4 linked regions of the Oryctolagus cuniculus genome follow. The protein of the gene in region 1 interacts with the protein of each later gene in a pairwise test. Links are inferred from orthologs where the notes say so. Each region holds a gene or a part of one and is shown in the gene's direction. Other genes may lie near its edges. The genes, in order: AP2M1, DVL2, FXR2 and TGOLN2.

Region 1 (4,173 bases):
TCATTGTGACCTACATAGACTCACCAGCTAGGAACATTTATAGGCTTAAATCCCTTCCCATATCTTACTAGTCATCGTACCATATCCATTGCACCCAACAGTCTCTGGAATTTGGCCCTTTCTCTCCCCTCTTCCTCTACTTTAATTCACCGGAGCATGGGGTTTGGACTCTGGTTGTTCTGAGTCTGAATTCCAGCTCTACTACTTTTTGATTGCGTGATAGGAGAGTTATTTAACCTCTCTGAGCCTCAGTTCCCTCATATGTAAAATGATAATAATACCTACCTCACAGGGTTGTTGTGAGGATTTAAATTAGATATTGTACGAAAAGTGCCTAGCACAGTGCATGGCACAGAATAGAGTAGGTGCTCAATAAATGGTAGCTATTATTATTATTATCATTTACCATTATTATTTACTCTTAAGTTGGTAGGAGTTTAGGATGTGTTTGGAAGATAAAGCTTTTACAAAGGCAGGCATGAAGGATTAAATGCCTTCAGGCTGTGAGGGAGGTCAGATCTTCAGCCTACTACATACTGTCGTCTGGCAAGAGACTGCTAGAGACAGTAAGGTTTACAACCAGGTTTGCCCCTCCTTGCCCCTCCTTCCCATGACAAGCTGAGTCCTCCCAAGGAAGTCATCAGAGTATCTGTCTACAGAGAGAGAAGAACTGTTTCTTACAGTCCTTTAAGCACCAGGCAGGCCTTTTCATATTTGAAGGCTGGCTCTGTTTCTTCCTTTCACCTTAGATGTGAAGATGAATTCTGCATCCTTTGGCCAACTAAGTTCAACTTGCCAACATTTTCTAGGAAATGTATGCTTGTCACTAGAAGGTGCACACACAGAACGCTGGCACCCTCATGAAAAGCTTTAGCTAATAGCTTTCAAGTTTGCCTCCCACCTCCTGCCCTTCTGATCCCCAGAGAATGAGGCTCATGTCTGGAACAGATATATAAAAGCTTGGGGGAATCAGAGGTGGTGTTAGAAAACAATAAATTCAGCACAAACAGTTCTGCCATGTTGCATGTTTGTGCACAGAGTAAGAACAGCCAGTCCTCGGACTCTGGAGACAGAGAATGTCCTGCAGCAACCTCTGGCTTAGCAGATGGGACCCGACAAACTAATCCTCTGAGATGCTTCAAAACACTGAAATAGGACCGGGGGACAACAAAGACTACAATCCCCAGAATGCTCAGTGAGGAAATGAAGTGGGTGGAGCCGCACGTGCCGGGATTTGTTGGGAAGGCTAAGGCCACGCTTCCCAACCCCACCCCTCCATCCCCCCACCCCTCGGCCATACACACCCGCCCCAAGACGGGGGGCGGTCTCAAAGGCAATCGGTAGTTGTAGTCTTTCGAAACCTGTCGGCGTTTAAAATCGCCGGTGAGGAGCCTGACGGGATTTGTAGTCTACGCAAGAGGCGGAGGAGAGCGCGCACGCGCAGCCGAGGCCGGGGCGGGGCCGCGGCACTGCGGTGAAAGCCGAGGCAGCGGGCAGGCGAGCAGGGGGCGGGCGGACATCTTGGGATCCGAAGAGTGGCCGGGCCGGCCGAGCCCTCGGGCCGCGGACGCCAGGTGAGCGGGGGACTTGGCATTTCGGGGTGGGGGACGATGCCGTGGGTCGCCCACCCCGCCTCCCAGCGTTGCCCTTCCCTGCGCGGGGTAGAAAGCTGCCCACACCCGGGAGTGGCCTCAGCCTTCAGACCCGGGAGGGAGCTGACGGCGGGGCGGGGGCGCCCGGGACGCGGTTGCAGGAAGGGCGGGGAGCGGCGCCCTCCACCTGAACCGCCGGGCGCCTCTCGTGATGGGGGAGACTCCCTGGAATCCCCCCGCAGCAGGGCCGCCGCGCGGGCCTCCTCGCTGGGATCGTGACAACCCCCCGAAGCTTTCGGCGCCGCCGCCTCGGCGTAGGGACAGCTGCCCCGTCTCCCGGGGCACGGACCCCTGTGTCTTCTCCTTGGACTGTGACAGGTCTCACACTGGGCAGCACCCCGTCCACTCAGCTCAGTGACAACTCGGTGGCACCATGTCTTCCCGCGATGTCGCTTCCTTGGGGCGAAAAGCCCCACCACTCCTTCAGGCCTCTGCACATGAACCCCAAAGCAGGCTCCGTCTCCCCCAGCTTTCCCTCTTCACCGCTGTCACTCTTCCCTCCCGGCTCTCCCTCCCCCACGCCGTCACCCTGACCTTTTCCGTGCTGGAAACGCTCTCTTTTAGATGCCCCCACCGGGGCTGCTGCAGGTTCACCTGAGTAGCCGCTGGCTGCTGCCACCAGTCTTTTCCTTCAGTGAAATGTGCCGTGGAGTCCAGGGCCCCACCTCTGGTTCTGTGGCGCCCTGAGCTACCTACAACTTGATACCTATGGCCTTGGTCTATGCCCAGGGCTCTACCTCCATTTTGCATTTCTTTCCCTAGCCTCAACCGGCCTGAGGGATGGCGTTGTCGGCACCTTTGGAGACAACTCACTGGCCTGGGAGACCTTGATCTCACAGTAAAAGGCTTTATTTTCCCGTTTATTAAATTCTGCTGACCGACTCCCTGTGAAATTAATACCAGGGCTGATCCAGGAAATCTAGAACCAAATTAACCCCTTTTCTCCAACAGTCTCTATTAGTTTGACCTACATAGTTTGGATAATTCGGGCATTCCGACATGCTTGCCTCTTGCTTGTAGGTGCTCTGGCCAGAAGGGAGCTACTTGGTGCATCTGGAATCACAGTTCCAGCTGGAAGGATCTAGGAACCCATTCCACCTGCCCAGTCCTTATTTTTATTGCACTCTGGGGCCTTTTGAAAGAGGGGGTGTCAGAAATAATAGCTTGGGTCATTGGCGGTAGTCTGCCAGCACCTTTCTCCTCTGTTCTTTGCCTGCTTATCTGATTGCCTGGGAGAAGTTGGAGCCACACTCCCAGGTCCTTGTCAGGGCCTGAGGCCTTCTTTCTCTCCTCCCACCCCCACCCTGCACAGCCTTTCCTGGAATGTTTAGGCTTCTGAGGATTCAGCCCCTGCTGCCTTCCCGAAGGCTGGAAGGAGCCTGAGAGAGGGTGCCTCAGGCCGGAACCAGCTGGAGTGATTGCTACCGCCAGCCAGTCATTCCTGCAGCCGCAGGCGGGCCTTCTCAGTGACTCACTGGCATTAGCCCCAGTGAGAGTCTGTACTAGAGGGGGTTGGAAAGGACCCTTGCTGAGCTCAGCGCTGTGGAGGGGGAGGTGGGAGCTACTCTGGCTCAGCCCCAGAAAAGGGAGGGTCAATGGCCTTAGACTCCTGGGCCCTAGTCTCTCCTGGTTTTCCCCCATCTACAGTGGAATAAACAGGAACTGGAGCCTTGCTGAGGGGAGGGGCGTGCCTGGGAGGGCCACAGGGTCACTTGCTAGAGGGTTGAGTCAGGAAAAAAAGCAAGCCAGTGATCTGTGCAGCCCCACAGGGGCTGTTGGCCAGGCTCCTGAGGTCTTCCCTCGCCCCACCCCTGCCTGTCCTAGGTCTGTTCTCAGAGCGATGGGCCGCCGAGACTGAGCTGCCGCCATGATCGGAGGCTTATTCATCTATAATCACAAGGGGGAGGTGCTCATCTCCCGGGTCTACCGAGATGACATCGGGTGAGTGCCCTGGCTGAGCCAGCTGTGCCCCTGCCACCGCAGCCCTCCAGCCCCAGCATGCAGGACCAGGTGTGTGCCATCCAGAGGCTTGACTTGGGCCACTCTGTCCCCTCACTGCATCCTGGAAGCTCAGCTGCTATAGCCCGGGTCCCAGCAGGTCTGACATCCAGCTTGCCGGCCACTAAGTGGGACCTGAGCAGTGGCGTGGCTCCCGTAGCCCTTCCTCCTCCCATTTCCCCTGGTTACGAGCCTGGTTGTAGGAGATGAGTGCCGTCTCCCAGGCAGGCAGATTCCTCCCTTAGGGAAGTGGAGTTAGTGACCAGGCTGCAGGTACTAATCCTTCTGCGTCTTGCTCTCAAAAGCTCTCATGCTGAGCGCCTGCACTGGATTCTCTTGAAAGCCTCTCTAGGCTGCCGACTCCTCTCCCACTCCCTTTCTTAGGAGGTGTCAGGCTGCTGATTCAGCTGCTTTCGGTTCCTCTGGAAGAGAGGTTGTGAGCAAACTTGAGGCACTTCCAGGCCATTGCGGGAAGGGCAGGGAGGCCATGCTGTCCTTTCTGGTCCATAAGGGAAGACTCTGA
Region 2 (4,103 bases), on another chromosome or scaffold:
AGCAAACCTTCTTTCCCCAGGTGATGACTCATGGGACCTGATCACGTGTTACTGCCGGAAGCCCTTCGCAGGGCGGCCCATGATCGAGTGCAGCCTATGTGGGACGTGGATCCACCTCTCCTGTGCTAAGATTAAGAAGACCAATGTCCCTGACTTCTTTTATTGCCAGAAATGCAAGGAACTGCGGCCTGAGGCGCGGCGGTTAGGGGGGCTTCCCAAATCTGGAGAGCCCTGACACTGCCAACTCCAGGCTGGAACTGGCAAGTGACGATTCGGGAACTGAGCCTCGGGGGCTTCAGCCCATCCCCTGGAGTCTGGATGTGGTCCCCGCTTCAAGGCAGGAACGCCCAAGGCAGACTTCGGAAATGAGTCTCACGGTCCCTCCCTCCCCTCCCTCCCCAGCCTGTGGACTGGAGTGGACGTTGCGTTGGGCGTGGGAGGCTGTCGGGGGCCCCGGATGCAGCATCTTGGACCTGCCAGGGTTGGAATTGGGATGGACTGGGACAGCTGTCTATAAACTCTAGTGTAAATATAGCATTCCCCTCCCTCATCTTTTATTTTACTCCCAATTTATTTTCTTCTACACCGGTTGTATTTTTAATGTTGGACTTCCTCTTTCGAGCGTGGCGGCTCAGAGGTGGAGTGAGCCTGGCCAAGCGAGCAAGGAGAGCGGCAAGGTGACGGTCCTCACGCACCTCTTGTTTTTACTACTGGCCAGCCGTTTGTACAGACAGCCTGCGTGTTGTAAATAAAGCAGAGTGGGCTCTTTGTGTTTCTAGCCCTCCCTGACTGTCCTGCTTGGGGGGAGGCTCTGGGGGAGCTGGCCGCAGGGCACAAACCCACCTCGGCGTCCGGGCCTTCCCGCGCCGGGACACAACCCCAGGGGCTCCGTCGGCTTCTTCCCTCCACGCGCGCCCGCGGTCCCGCTGCTCCTGCACGGACGGTCGTGCGCAGTCGCTTCGCGTTCCCGCCCGGACGGCGCAGGGCGCCCCCCACCCCGAAGACGGAGGTCCCCAGGACACGGTGCCAGCCGGGAGGACCTCCGGTGGGGGATACGCTCGGGGGCGGAGTGGGTCGGGGCTGGGAGACCGTTGCTGAAGGCAGCGGTCACGTGGAGGGAGCGCTGGGAGGAGCCGAGTAGTCACGTGATGGCGGAGGGGTCACGTGGCGAAGGGCGGTGCAGGGAGCGCGAGGTGGGCGGGCTCGGGCCACGTGACATGAGGCGAGGTGGGCGGGGCCCTGGAGGGCGCTCGCGACGTCGGCGGCGGTGGCGCGCGGCGGCTGAGTGCGCCGCTCCGGGGCGCGTCGCGCGGCCCGCCACCCTGCCGCACCCCGCCGCCTCCCCGCTGCCCCACGCCCACACTGGCTCTGTCGCGTCCGCGCTCCGGTCGGGGTTCGAGTGTGCGCAGGCGCGGCGGGCCGCAGATAGCCCCACTGGGTGGGCGGCGGAGCCCGGGAGCGCGCGGGCGAGACCATGGCGGGCAGCAGCACGGGGGGCGGAGGCGTCGGGGAGACGAAGGTGATTTACCACCTGGATGAGGAGGAGACTCCCTACCTGGTGAAGATCCCAGTCCCCGCCGAGCGCATCACCCTTGGAGACTTCAAGAGCGTTCTGCAGCGGCCCGCGGGTGCTAAGTACTTTTTCAAGTCCATGGATCAGGATTTCGGGTGAGCGCGAGGCCTAGCCTGGGACTGACGGGGGCTGTACCCGCACGGATGGGGCGTTCTGCAGGGGGCACGGGTCTGCTCTGGGTTACACGGGTTTTCTGGCCTTCAGTGGATCGGATTGTGCCACACTGAGGCAGAGTGGCCGTCCCAGGACGGACAAGGTTATGCCTGGACAGATGGATGCACACGGAGCGATAAAGTGGAGAAGATTGGGCCATATGGAATAGGTGGGGGCGCGCAGGTTGGTTTTGGGGTGGTCGGGACTGAGCGTTTTCCTGTAGCACACAGCTTGTGTGGAGACAGCCTGCAGTCTCTTGACATAGCCGGGCTTGTGTTGGCGGCAGTTGGAACGTTGTGGCAGAGACAGGATTGTTTGGGGACTCCATGGAGTGTATGCATGCTAATGCAAAAAAAAAAAAAAAAAAAAAGTTGCGGTGTTCTAGGCTGCCTTGGAGTGGGCTACTGGACGGGCTGGGGTCATTCTGGTCTCTTGGTTGATCCTAACCTAATAACTCTTCTTCGGCACGCATCGGGGCACTTAGTACAGGGCAGATAAGGCTGTTGGGGCTTTTGCTAATACAGACAGCTGTATTGGGATAGTCTAGTCTATATTGGTGCAGACAGCTGCATGCAGGGACGTTGTAGGCTGTGCTAGAATAGATTGGGCTATCCTGGGGTAATTTGGGGATTCCTGGACTTGACTGGGACTGTAAATAACATATTCGAAGCCCTTTTGTTTTTCTCACTTTGGGGAATGACCACTCTTGTTTTGACTGCTCAGTTGTTTCACTGGCTGGCTAGATTGTGTTGATGGCTTGGATTTTAGGGGGACGGAACAAACTGGACTCTGCCTAAAAAGGTCGTTCAGCGTGGGGAGAGTGACAGTTGTCTTGGGAGTTATCTTGGGCTTAAATCAAAGCTCTTGGATTGGTCAGCAGTGTAATCTTGGGCAATTTCATTTACCTTTGTGCGTTGATTTTTCTCACATTTGAGATAATCACAGAGTGAAATGCTTAGTTCCCGCGCTTGGCACATGGGAAACTCTTGGGGCGTGGTCATCGTTGTCCTTGGCATTGAGGCCCACAGGTCCACAAACTCGGTTGTGGTGATACAGAATAGCCTGCCGTGGAGTGGGTTGAGCTGTGCCAAGATGGGTTATATTGGGAGAACACTAATTACACTGAAACAGATTGGTAGTGGCTGGGCCCTGTTGTCACATAACTAGCAAATGGATTCAGTTGGTGTATATACACACTCCCAGAGGCATATTAGGCTAAAGGGTTAATCAGACAAGATGTTCTGATTTGGGGAGGGGAGAGGGTGTGTTTGTGAGACAGAGGAGAAACCAGAGAATCTATTGGTTTGTGTGTTTTGTTTGTTTAGTCAACAAGTGTTAATGCTGCGTGGTCAGGGCGTGGTGTACAACAGAATGGGTGCTGCTGATTGCAAGGGGTGGTTGAGAAGAAAGGGGGGCAAGTCCAGTCCACTACAGGGAACACAGGGGAGCTGGTGGGGCTTTGGGGTCTTGAGACCCAGCATGTTGTTGAGAGCAGAGTTCTTCCAGGGGAGGCACAGGGGAACGGGAAGCCTGGCTTCCTCTCTTCTTCCCAGCTCTCAGCCTAAGGAGATGCTGTTGGTTCCTCTAATGGGCTTTTGTCCCCTGACAAAGACAGCACATCTGGACCACTCTCTGGAAGTGGATTAGAAAAAACTAAAGGGAAGTGGGAGAGTAGAAGCTTGTATGAGGTTGGGGAAGGTGTGTACGGAACAGGGCTGGGTTTGGGGACGGCTACCAGCAAGGCTCACTGGCAACCAGGTAACCACAGGGGTTGGCCTTCCAGTCATGCTGCAGGAAGTCTTTGGAGCAGCATTGCCCCTGAGGGCCAGCTGGGGCGAGCAGGCGAAACGTGGTGGGAGTGGGGTTTGGAGGTTGTTTCCCTAGGAGAGAGGGGGAACGAGGCAGGGGGTGGCCGGCATCCTTGAGCTGGGTGAAGACGGAGAAGCTGGCGGCGGGGGTGGCTGACCCAGCCTCGCTGACCTCGTCCTGTCTCCCGGCAGGGTGGTGAAGGAAGAAATTTCAGATGACAATGCCCGCCTGCCCTGCTTCAACGGAAGGGTGGTATCCTGGGTAAGGGCCCATTCCCTCTGGGTTCCCAGGCTGCTCCCAGCCTCATCTGTCTGTAGCCTCTCCCTGCCCAGTCATTGCCCTGGCCCTTTGCCTCCCTCCCTGTTTGGAGAGCCAGTGGGAGCTCCTCGGCTTTCTTCTGGAGCCTCTGCCATGAGGGGGCTTCAAAAACGTTCATGGGAAATGCATAGTATGAGAAAAGGATGCGTGGGCTTCAAAACAGGGTGCGTGGGCATGCGTCAAAATAAAGTTATTATTACTTTTTTTTTTTTTTTTTTTTGACAGAGTGGGCAGTGAGAGAGAGAGACAG
Region 3 (3,560 bases), on another chromosome or scaffold:
CACCTGAACTGTTCAGTGCATTCTGTGCTCTGCCTTCTGAGTGCCTTCCTCTTTCCTGTAGCTGCTCTAACGAAAACGTCCATAAAGAGTTCAAGAAAGCGCTTGGAGCCAACTGCATCTTTCTCAACATCACAAACAGTGAGCTCTTCATTCTGGTGAGTTTATTCTGCCTGAATTTCCCATAAGCCCTTCCAATAGTTTTTCCTTTTCCCCTTTTAACCTCTTTGCACAAAGGGAGGAACTGAAATATGCTTACATTTATCTGTTAGAGTTCCTTCCTTCCTTCTTTATTTACTTAATTAATTAATTAATTAAATGTATTTATTTGAAAGGCAGAGATTGAACTCCCATCTGCTAGTTCACTCCCCAAAGCCAGGAGCCTGAAACTCCATTTGGTTCTCTGGTGCCAGGGTTCCCAAGCATTTGGGCCATCCGCTGCTGCTTCCCCAGGTACATTAGCAAGGAGCTAGATCAGCAGTGGAGTAGCCAAGATTCAAACTGGTGCTCTGATTTGGGATGCCAGCATTGCAAGCACTGTACCACAATGCTAGGCACTTCAGCGTCATTGATTATTTTTTAGATTTATTTATTTAACTGAAAGAGTTACATAGAGAGCAAGACAGAGAAAGATTCTCCATCTACTGATTCACTCCCCAGACGTCTGTGACAGCTGGGGCTGGGCCAGGCCAAAGCCAGGGGCAGGAGAAGCAGTGTACTTAGTATGCTAGCACGGCACGTGGCAGTCCGACCTGCTGCACCACAACACTGATCCCAACTGTAGGGATGCAGGCATCCTGATTCCCAGTCCCCGGCTCTCCCCAGGTATGTATTCAAGTCAATTTTCATGACTTTCCATTGGTTTGCTTCCAGTCAACCACGGAAGCCCCTGTGAAGCGGGCGTCTCTGCTGGGTGATATGCATTTTCGAAGCCTGCGCACCAAACTACTACTCATGTCCCGCAATGAAGAAGCTACCAAGCACCTAGAGGTAATTTGTGGCTCCTCTCCCTCCTGCCAAAGGGTGTTCCTCCTTGTCCCACTGTCCACCCATGCTCTTTATTTATAGAGCACTAAGGCCCCCCCCCCCGGTTTTTTTTTTTTTTTTTTTTTTTTAAGATTTATGTATTTATTTGAAAGGCAGAGTGACAGAGAGGGGAGAGGTCTTCTTTCTGCTGGTTCACTCCCCAAATGGCTACAATGGCCAGAGCTGTGCCATTCTGAAGCCAGGAGCTAGGAGCTTCTTCCAGGTCTGCCAGGCAGGTGCAGGGAGGGACCCAAGCACTTGGGCCACTTCTACTGCTTTCCTAGGCCATAGCAGAGACTGGATGGGAAGTGGAGCAGCTGGGACTAGAACCGGTGCCCATATGGGATGCTGGCACTGCAAGTGGCAGCTTTACCTGCTACGCCACAGCGCTTGCTCCCCAAAAACAGGTTTCACTTGGCTGTTAAACCTGGATTGACTGTTTTGTTTCAAATTCCTCTAGATGACAGAGTTGTATCATGTTATGGTATAATCTTTTTATATTCATTTATTTTTGTTATAATTTGAGGGACAGAGGTAGAGATGGAGAGGAGAGATATCTCCATCTGCCAGTTAACTCCCTAAGTGGCTGCAATGGCCAGAGCTGGGACAGGCTAAAGCCAGGGCCCAGGAGCTGCTGCTTCTGGGTCTCCCATGTGGATGCAGGGGCCCAAGTACTTGGGCCATCTTCAAAGCAGATCAGCAGGGAGCTGGATGGGAAGTGGAGCAGCCTGGACCTGAACTGGCGCCCGTATGGGATGCTGGCGTCACGGGCTGTGGCTTCACTCTGTGCCGTGGTGCTGGCCCCGGCGCACTCATCTTCACACTTCAGCCACAGGCTCCTTCCGCCAAGTGAGATTTTACTTGAAGGCACAATGCATAAACAGATTAACCAGAGCAGCTCTGTCTAAAAGTGGAAAGGGGCATGGCTCTTACTGTCACTGATGCCCTTGTATCACCTCTGGAAACCAAACTACTCTGTGGAATATGTATGAGAAGTGTTTATACTCTGCTTAATACCACTGGGCTTGGCCTCCTGCCTTGCTTTGTCATGTAATTGTCCATTTGGCAAATCATTTGATTTCACTGGGCTTTCTCTTTAAGATTTACTTATTTGAAAGGCAGAGTTTTGGGGTGGGCAGGGAGATCTTTTCCATCTGTTCGTTCACTCCCCAAATGGCTGCAAAGGCTGTGGCTGGGCTGGGCTAGGCTAGGCTAGGCTAGGCTGAAGCCAAGAGCCTGGAACTCCATCCAGGTCTCTCATATGGGTAGCCGTGGCCCAAGTACCTGGGCAGTCTTCCACTGCTTTCCCAGATACATTAGCAGGGAGCTGAATTGGAAGTGGAAGAGCTTGGACTCCGTACAGCACAGTGCTGGCCCCTTGGCTGGAGTTTTCATCATGACAAAGAGGTAGTTAGACTAGAATATTTCTTCAAATTTTCGAGTCCTGATACACTGTTACTATCAGATTCCATTTCCTAGGTATTACACCATTCCAGGCGAGTACGAGGTTTTGTGTGTCTTGAACATGCATCCATTTATCAAGTGAACTGGTCATTTGGGGGGGGCTCGTCTCTGAGCCTGTGCAAATTCTGGATCATGGTGGTATTAGAGAACCATTTCGTCAGTGTAAGAACACCGAGAGGGCCGGTGCCACGGCTCACTAGGCTAATCCTCCACCTGTGGCGCCGGCACCCCGGGTTCTAGTCCCGGTTGCCCCTCTTCCAGGCCAGCTCTCTGCTGTGGCCTGGGAAGGCAGCAGAGGATGGCCCAAGTCTTTGGGCCCTGCACCCGCATGGGAGACCAGGAGGAAGCACCTGGCTCCTGGCTTCGGATCAGCGCAGTGCCAGCCGTAGCGGCCATTAGGGAACTGAACCAATGGAAGGAAGACCTTTCTCTCTGTCTCTCTCTCACTGTCTTAATTCTGCCTGTCAAAAAAACAAAAAAAAAACAAAAAAAAAAAACAAAAAAAACAACACTGAGAGGCATTTTAAAGATTTATTTATTTATTTGAAAAAGTGTTACACAGAGAGAGAGGGAGAGGCAGAGAGAGGTCTTCCATCCACTGGTTCACTCCTCAGTTGGCCACAATATGGGGAGCTACACCGATCCAAAGCCAGGAGCCGGGAGCTTCTTCTGGGTGTCCCATGCAGGTGCAGGGAGGAACCCAAGGACTTGGACCATCTTCTGCTTTCCCAGGCCATGGCAGAGAGCTGGACCGGAAGTGGAGCAGCCAGGACTTGAACTGGCGCCCATATAGGATGCTGGCACTGCAGGCAGGGGCTTTAACCTGCTGCACCACAGCGCCAGCCCCAAGGCCCACTTCTTAGACATAATAATTTGATCAAACTTTTTTTTTAAAGATTTATTTTATCTATTTGAAAGGCAGAGTTGTAGGAGGAGGCGGGGGTCTGCGGTGCACTGGTTCACTACCCACATGGCTGCAAGGGTCAGGGCTGGACCAGGCTGAAGCCAGGCAGGTACAGGGGCCCAAGAACTCGGGCTGTCTTCCACTGCTTTCCCAGGCCACAGCAGAGAGT
Region 4 (4,080 bases), on another chromosome or scaffold:
TCATATTTGTGCCGTGTAGTATTCTTAAAATTCTTAAGAGTTTTGACTGACTAGGACTGCGTGTCCCATAAACAAATACAAATGAAGAGAATGGTTGCCCTAGCAGCTGTCGCCCTTTTGGGCAGGAGTGGCACCAGTTTACAGTTCAACCAGAGTTAACTGGCATATTTTCCGTTGTACTTGTGTGTCCAATAAAGATGTATGTTCTGGACAACTCCCAGATCACTCAACTTCTTAATCTGGCTCTGCGCCAGCCTCATTCCCTGCCACTGTCCTTGTTGTGATCCAACAATCCTGGTCTTTACATTTGCACAAAATGCCAGGATCCCGCCTACGGGCAGCTAAGCTCATCTTCCCTTCAACCTCATCTGAGACACACCTATAAACTCTGGTCCTCGGTTTAAGGGTCCTTCCTCAACTAAGTTAATGGTTTCCGTACTTTTCTTTCTGGCAATTCTTGGGAATTTGTGTGTCTGTATACACACTCTCACATGTTTTGTTTGTTTTAAATTTACTTATTTATTTGAAAGGCAGAGTTATAGATAGGCGGAGGCAGAGAGAGAAAGATCTCCCATGGATGGTTCACTCCCCAGATGGCTGCAACGGCCGGAGCTGCCTCAATCCGAAGCCAGGAGCCAGGAGCTTCCTCTGTGTCTCCCACGTGGGTGCCGGGGCCCAACGACTTGGGCCATCTTCCACTGCTTTCCCAGGCCATAGCAGAGAGCTGGTCAAATAATAGTTTTAATTAACAAAGAATGTACTAGTGTTACTTAATTAAAAACATTAAATATTTGCAAGGCAAACACATACTCTAAAACATTTGCAGATTATGCCGGAAGGATGGAACTAAGGTTCTATTTTCTCCTTCTAGAACTCTGATGAGAACAAGAACACTTGTTTGGAAAGGATCTTGGGCAACCTCAGACGAAGGCGATGGGCTGGACTTGTTTCTAGATGGGAAAGAACAAGAAAGCGAGGGGCGAGAAACGCGAGCAAACGATGGGGCGAGGAGCTGCCGGGCCCAGCGACCCACGGGAGGCGAGAAAGCTCCCGCTTGGTGCGAAGGGCGAGAAGCAAAAATGGATGGCCTGTTATGGCTGCTATGGGGACTGGAAACCAGGAAGAGGTAGATTCTCCCGCCACTGGGGTCTAAGTCACCGCCACTGCCAAAAAAAGGAAAAAAAAATAACCTTCCAACCTCTCCGAAGGCTGAGCCCCAGGACCCGCCCCCGAATGGGGAGACCTGGCGGAGGCACGGAGGCGCGCGCAGGAAGGGGCGTGGCTACGAGTTTGGAGTCCCGCGCGCGACTCTCGCGAGACTGGTAGAGAGCGGAAGCACAGTCTGTGCAGGATGCGGTTCCTAGTTGTGTTGGTCGCGCTGAGTGTCGCAGTGGCGGGTAAGACCCCCTTCTGTCCGCCCACTCCACTTTCGCCCCCCAGCCCACCACCCTCAGCTCGGCCAGCCGCTGTCTGGGCTCGCCTCTTTCCTGCTCCCCCTACCCTTCCGCTCGCCGCCGCCCCCCTGCCCCCTTTCGCCCCTTTGCGCCTGATCCTTTCCTGCTCCGAGGAGTCCGCTTTTCCCGATCTGCGCTCTGAAAGCCTAATGGCCTGGTTTCTCCCATTTCAGTAGCTGACGATGCCAGTTCGGCAGACAATCAGAACGTAAACACTACCCTTACGGCCTCTGGAGCCTCCTCTTCGAACATGGAGCCAGAGATAAATAGTACGGAAAAGGTACTCGCTTTGAACCCGTCTTCCAATAACGCAGGCTCTAACAGCTCACAAATAGGGCAGCTGAAGGTTAGCGCAAACTCTAGCAACTCAAATACCGAGTCGCCGAACGCGAGCGCAAACACTGGCAACTCATCCCAGGAGCAGCAGGGGACAAGCGCAAACACTGGCACTTCGACTACGGAGCAGCCCCAGAAAATCAGCGCTTCTACGCCTCCTGCTCTGCCGAAGACCACGGCAGAGAAATACCAGTCCAGCAAGGCAGTCTCCAACCCCAGCCCTGGTAACACTCAGCCCGAGAGCAGCATAAGCGGCCAGGCTGACAAAGCAGGGACCTCGCAGCCTGCTTCCAGAGCTGAGTCCACGGAGGACTTGATAGTGGACTCTGAGCTCCCTTCTTCCCAGCAGGAGGGGGAGGACAAGCCTTTAGAGCCTGCTGAAGGTGCGGAGCCCAAGGAGGCTGGAGAAGGTGAGGCGTTTCCTGAAGAGGACTCACCCCTGGAGGAAGAGAAAGAGAAGATGCCGGGGCCTGCCTCCGGGGAGACCCGCGAGGGTCTGCTTCTGGATCCCATGAGCAGGGAGAAGGATGAGCTTTTCAAGGACAGCCCTGGAAGTTCCCGCGCAGAGAGCAGCCACTTCTTTGCCTATCTGGTGACCGCGGCCGTTCTCGTGGCTGTCCTCTACATTGCCTATCACAACAAGCGCAAGGTGAGTGAGGAGCTGCCCGAGGGCCCTGTCCCCACTCCGCAGTCCTCCCTCCCCCAAACGCAAGCTTGGGCGCCCATCTGCCGCCGGAGAGCACCGGGGTTTTAAGACAAATGTCTGTGTTTCCTGAAGACTCTGCAAGGGCTCTTTACTCTGGTTTCGTAAATTATGCGTCTCTTCCTGTTCCCAGTGTCCTCTGCTCCTGCATTAGGTTATACGTTAGGACAGTGTTATGACACACCCTGAAATGGGATTGCCTCCCAGAACCTGGACGTGGTCCTTCACAGCCTCCGAGTACCTGGGGAGCTGGCAGGAAAAACTCTCCTCTGCCCGCGTCTCCACTCTGGAGCCAGTGCAGCACTTCTGACTTCCTCCCCCAACCTCCTGTCTTCCATCTGCGGTGGCAGAAGGAATGATTTCAGTGACATAGTCTCCTATACCAACAGCAAGAAGCCCAGGGAACCTCTTGAACAGTCATAACTAGAAGAAAACCCAGAAATTGCACAGATCCATACATCTTTTACTTTGTCAGCATTTGGTATGAAGTAATAATGGTGTGTCCCGTAGCAACCAACCCTAATGACAAAATTAGTGCATTTCCTATTAAGTCCTAAGAATTTTGAAGATAGCTTCAGTACTCTGGTTAGAATGGGAGAGTTCAATTAATTGTGGCCATAAGATCTTCAGCTATAAAGAATGAGGAAATGGGGCGAACTTTTGGCAGGGCAGTTAGGATACGATATCACTTGGGGTACCCACATCCCATGTTGGGGTGCCTCTGCTTATAATTCCAGCTTCCCGCTGTTGTGCACCCTGGGAGGCAGCAGATGGCGGCTTGAGGACTTGGGTCCCTGCCACCCAGGTGGGAGCCCTGGAGTGAGTTCTGGGATCCTGGCTTCAGCCTGCCCAGTTCTCGCTGTTGTGGGCATTTAGGAAGTGAACAGCAGCAGGAAGATCTCTTTCTGTTTGTCTCTCAAAAAAAAAAAAAAAAATACATAAATTTTTTTTTAAAGAATGAGGACATCCAAGTGGTTTATCATGGAGAGTAACCTCAGCAGTGAAATGACAGTGATAATGTAGCTGATGATGCAAAGGGGGGGGCCAAAAGAGTACTTTGTGGATAGGAAGTACTTTTTGATTATGATTTTAAAAAAAGGAACGTGCCATCCTAGAGCTCTCTGAGGAAGAGTTGGCAGATCTTTGAGTACTTTTTTTTTTTTTTTTTTTTTTTTTTTGAGAGAGAGAGACAGGCAGCGAGTGCTTCTGTGGACTAGTTCACTCCCCAAATGCTCTCGGTGGCCAGGGCTGGACCAGGCTGATGTCAGGAGCCAAAACGCAGTCCAGCTCTCCAGTGTGGGCAGCAGGGACCTGACTTCCTGAGCCGCCACCTGCTGCCTCCCAGGGTGCACCTGAACAGAAAGCTGGAATGAGGAGCAGAGCGCAGATTCAAACCCAGACACTCCAGTAGGGAATGAGGGCATCTAGCTGGTAACCGCCAGGCCGAACACCTGCCCCAGACTGAGTACTCTTGAATAAATCATACAGACTTTCGCAAGCTAGAGCCCAGAACATCCTTCCTCCATCTGTCATTTCCTGTAAAGTACTACAAAGGATTCTGATGTACTAGGCCCTGTCTTTGCTAAA

Evidence for each region.
Region 2: the proteins of AP2M1 (region 1) and DVL2 interact in a two-hybrid assay, tested with the Homo sapiens proteins (2 studies listed by BioGRID and IntAct). The two-hybrid records come from large-scale screens. The link is inferred for Oryctolagus cuniculus from reciprocal best matches to the Homo sapiens genes AP2M1 and DVL2.
Region 3: the proteins of AP2M1 (region 1) and FXR2 interact in binary tests that used the Homo sapiens proteins (3 or more experiments, as listed by UniProt). The link is inferred for Oryctolagus cuniculus from reciprocal best matches to the Homo sapiens genes AP2M1 and FXR2.
Region 4: the proteins of AP2M1 (region 1) and TGOLN2 interact in a two-hybrid assay, tested with the Homo sapiens proteins (2 studies listed by BioGRID). The link is inferred for Oryctolagus cuniculus from reciprocal best matches to the Homo sapiens genes AP2M1 and TGOLN2.

Annotation. Positions count from the first base shown.
Region 1 is NC_091435.1:93,753,800-93,757,972, forward strand, and holds the start of AP2M1 (AP-2 complex subunit mu), read left to right. Parts: upstream 1-1,348; 5' UTR 1,349-1,574; intron 1,575-2,414; exon of another isoform or gene 2,415-2,490; intron 2,491-3,476; 5' UTR 3,477-3,519; coding exon 3,520-3,593; intron 3,594-4,173.
Region 2 is NC_091448.1:51,839,450-51,843,552, reverse strand, and holds the start of DVL2 (segment polarity protein dishevelled homolog DVL-2), read left to right. Parts: upstream 1-1,253; 5' UTR 1,254-1,474; coding exon 1,475-1,668; intron 1,669-3,726; coding exon 3,727-3,796; intron 3,797-4,103. Other genes in the region: PHF23 (PHD finger protein 23), read left to right, coding at 21-235.
Region 3 is NC_091448.1:52,163,216-52,166,775, reverse strand, and holds part of FXR2 (RNA-binding protein FXR2), read left to right. Parts: intron 1-61; coding exon 62-155; intron 156-870; coding exon 871-987; intron 988-3,560. UniProt on the Homo sapiens protein: mRNA-binding protein that acts as a regulator of mRNAs translation and/or stability, and which is required for adult hippocampal neurogenesis. Specifically binds to AU-rich elements (AREs) in the 3'-UTR of target mRNAs.
Region 4 is NC_091433.1:117,293,713-117,297,792, reverse strand, and holds the start of TGOLN2 (trans-Golgi network integral membrane protein 2), read left to right. Parts: upstream 1-1,236; 5' UTR 1,237-1,351; coding exon 1,352-1,397; intron 1,398-1,627; coding exon 1,628-2,439; exon of another isoform or gene 2,440-2,638; intron 2,639-2,734; exon of another isoform or gene 2,735-2,918; intron 2,919-4,080. UniProt on the Homo sapiens protein: May be involved in regulating membrane traffic to and from trans-Golgi network.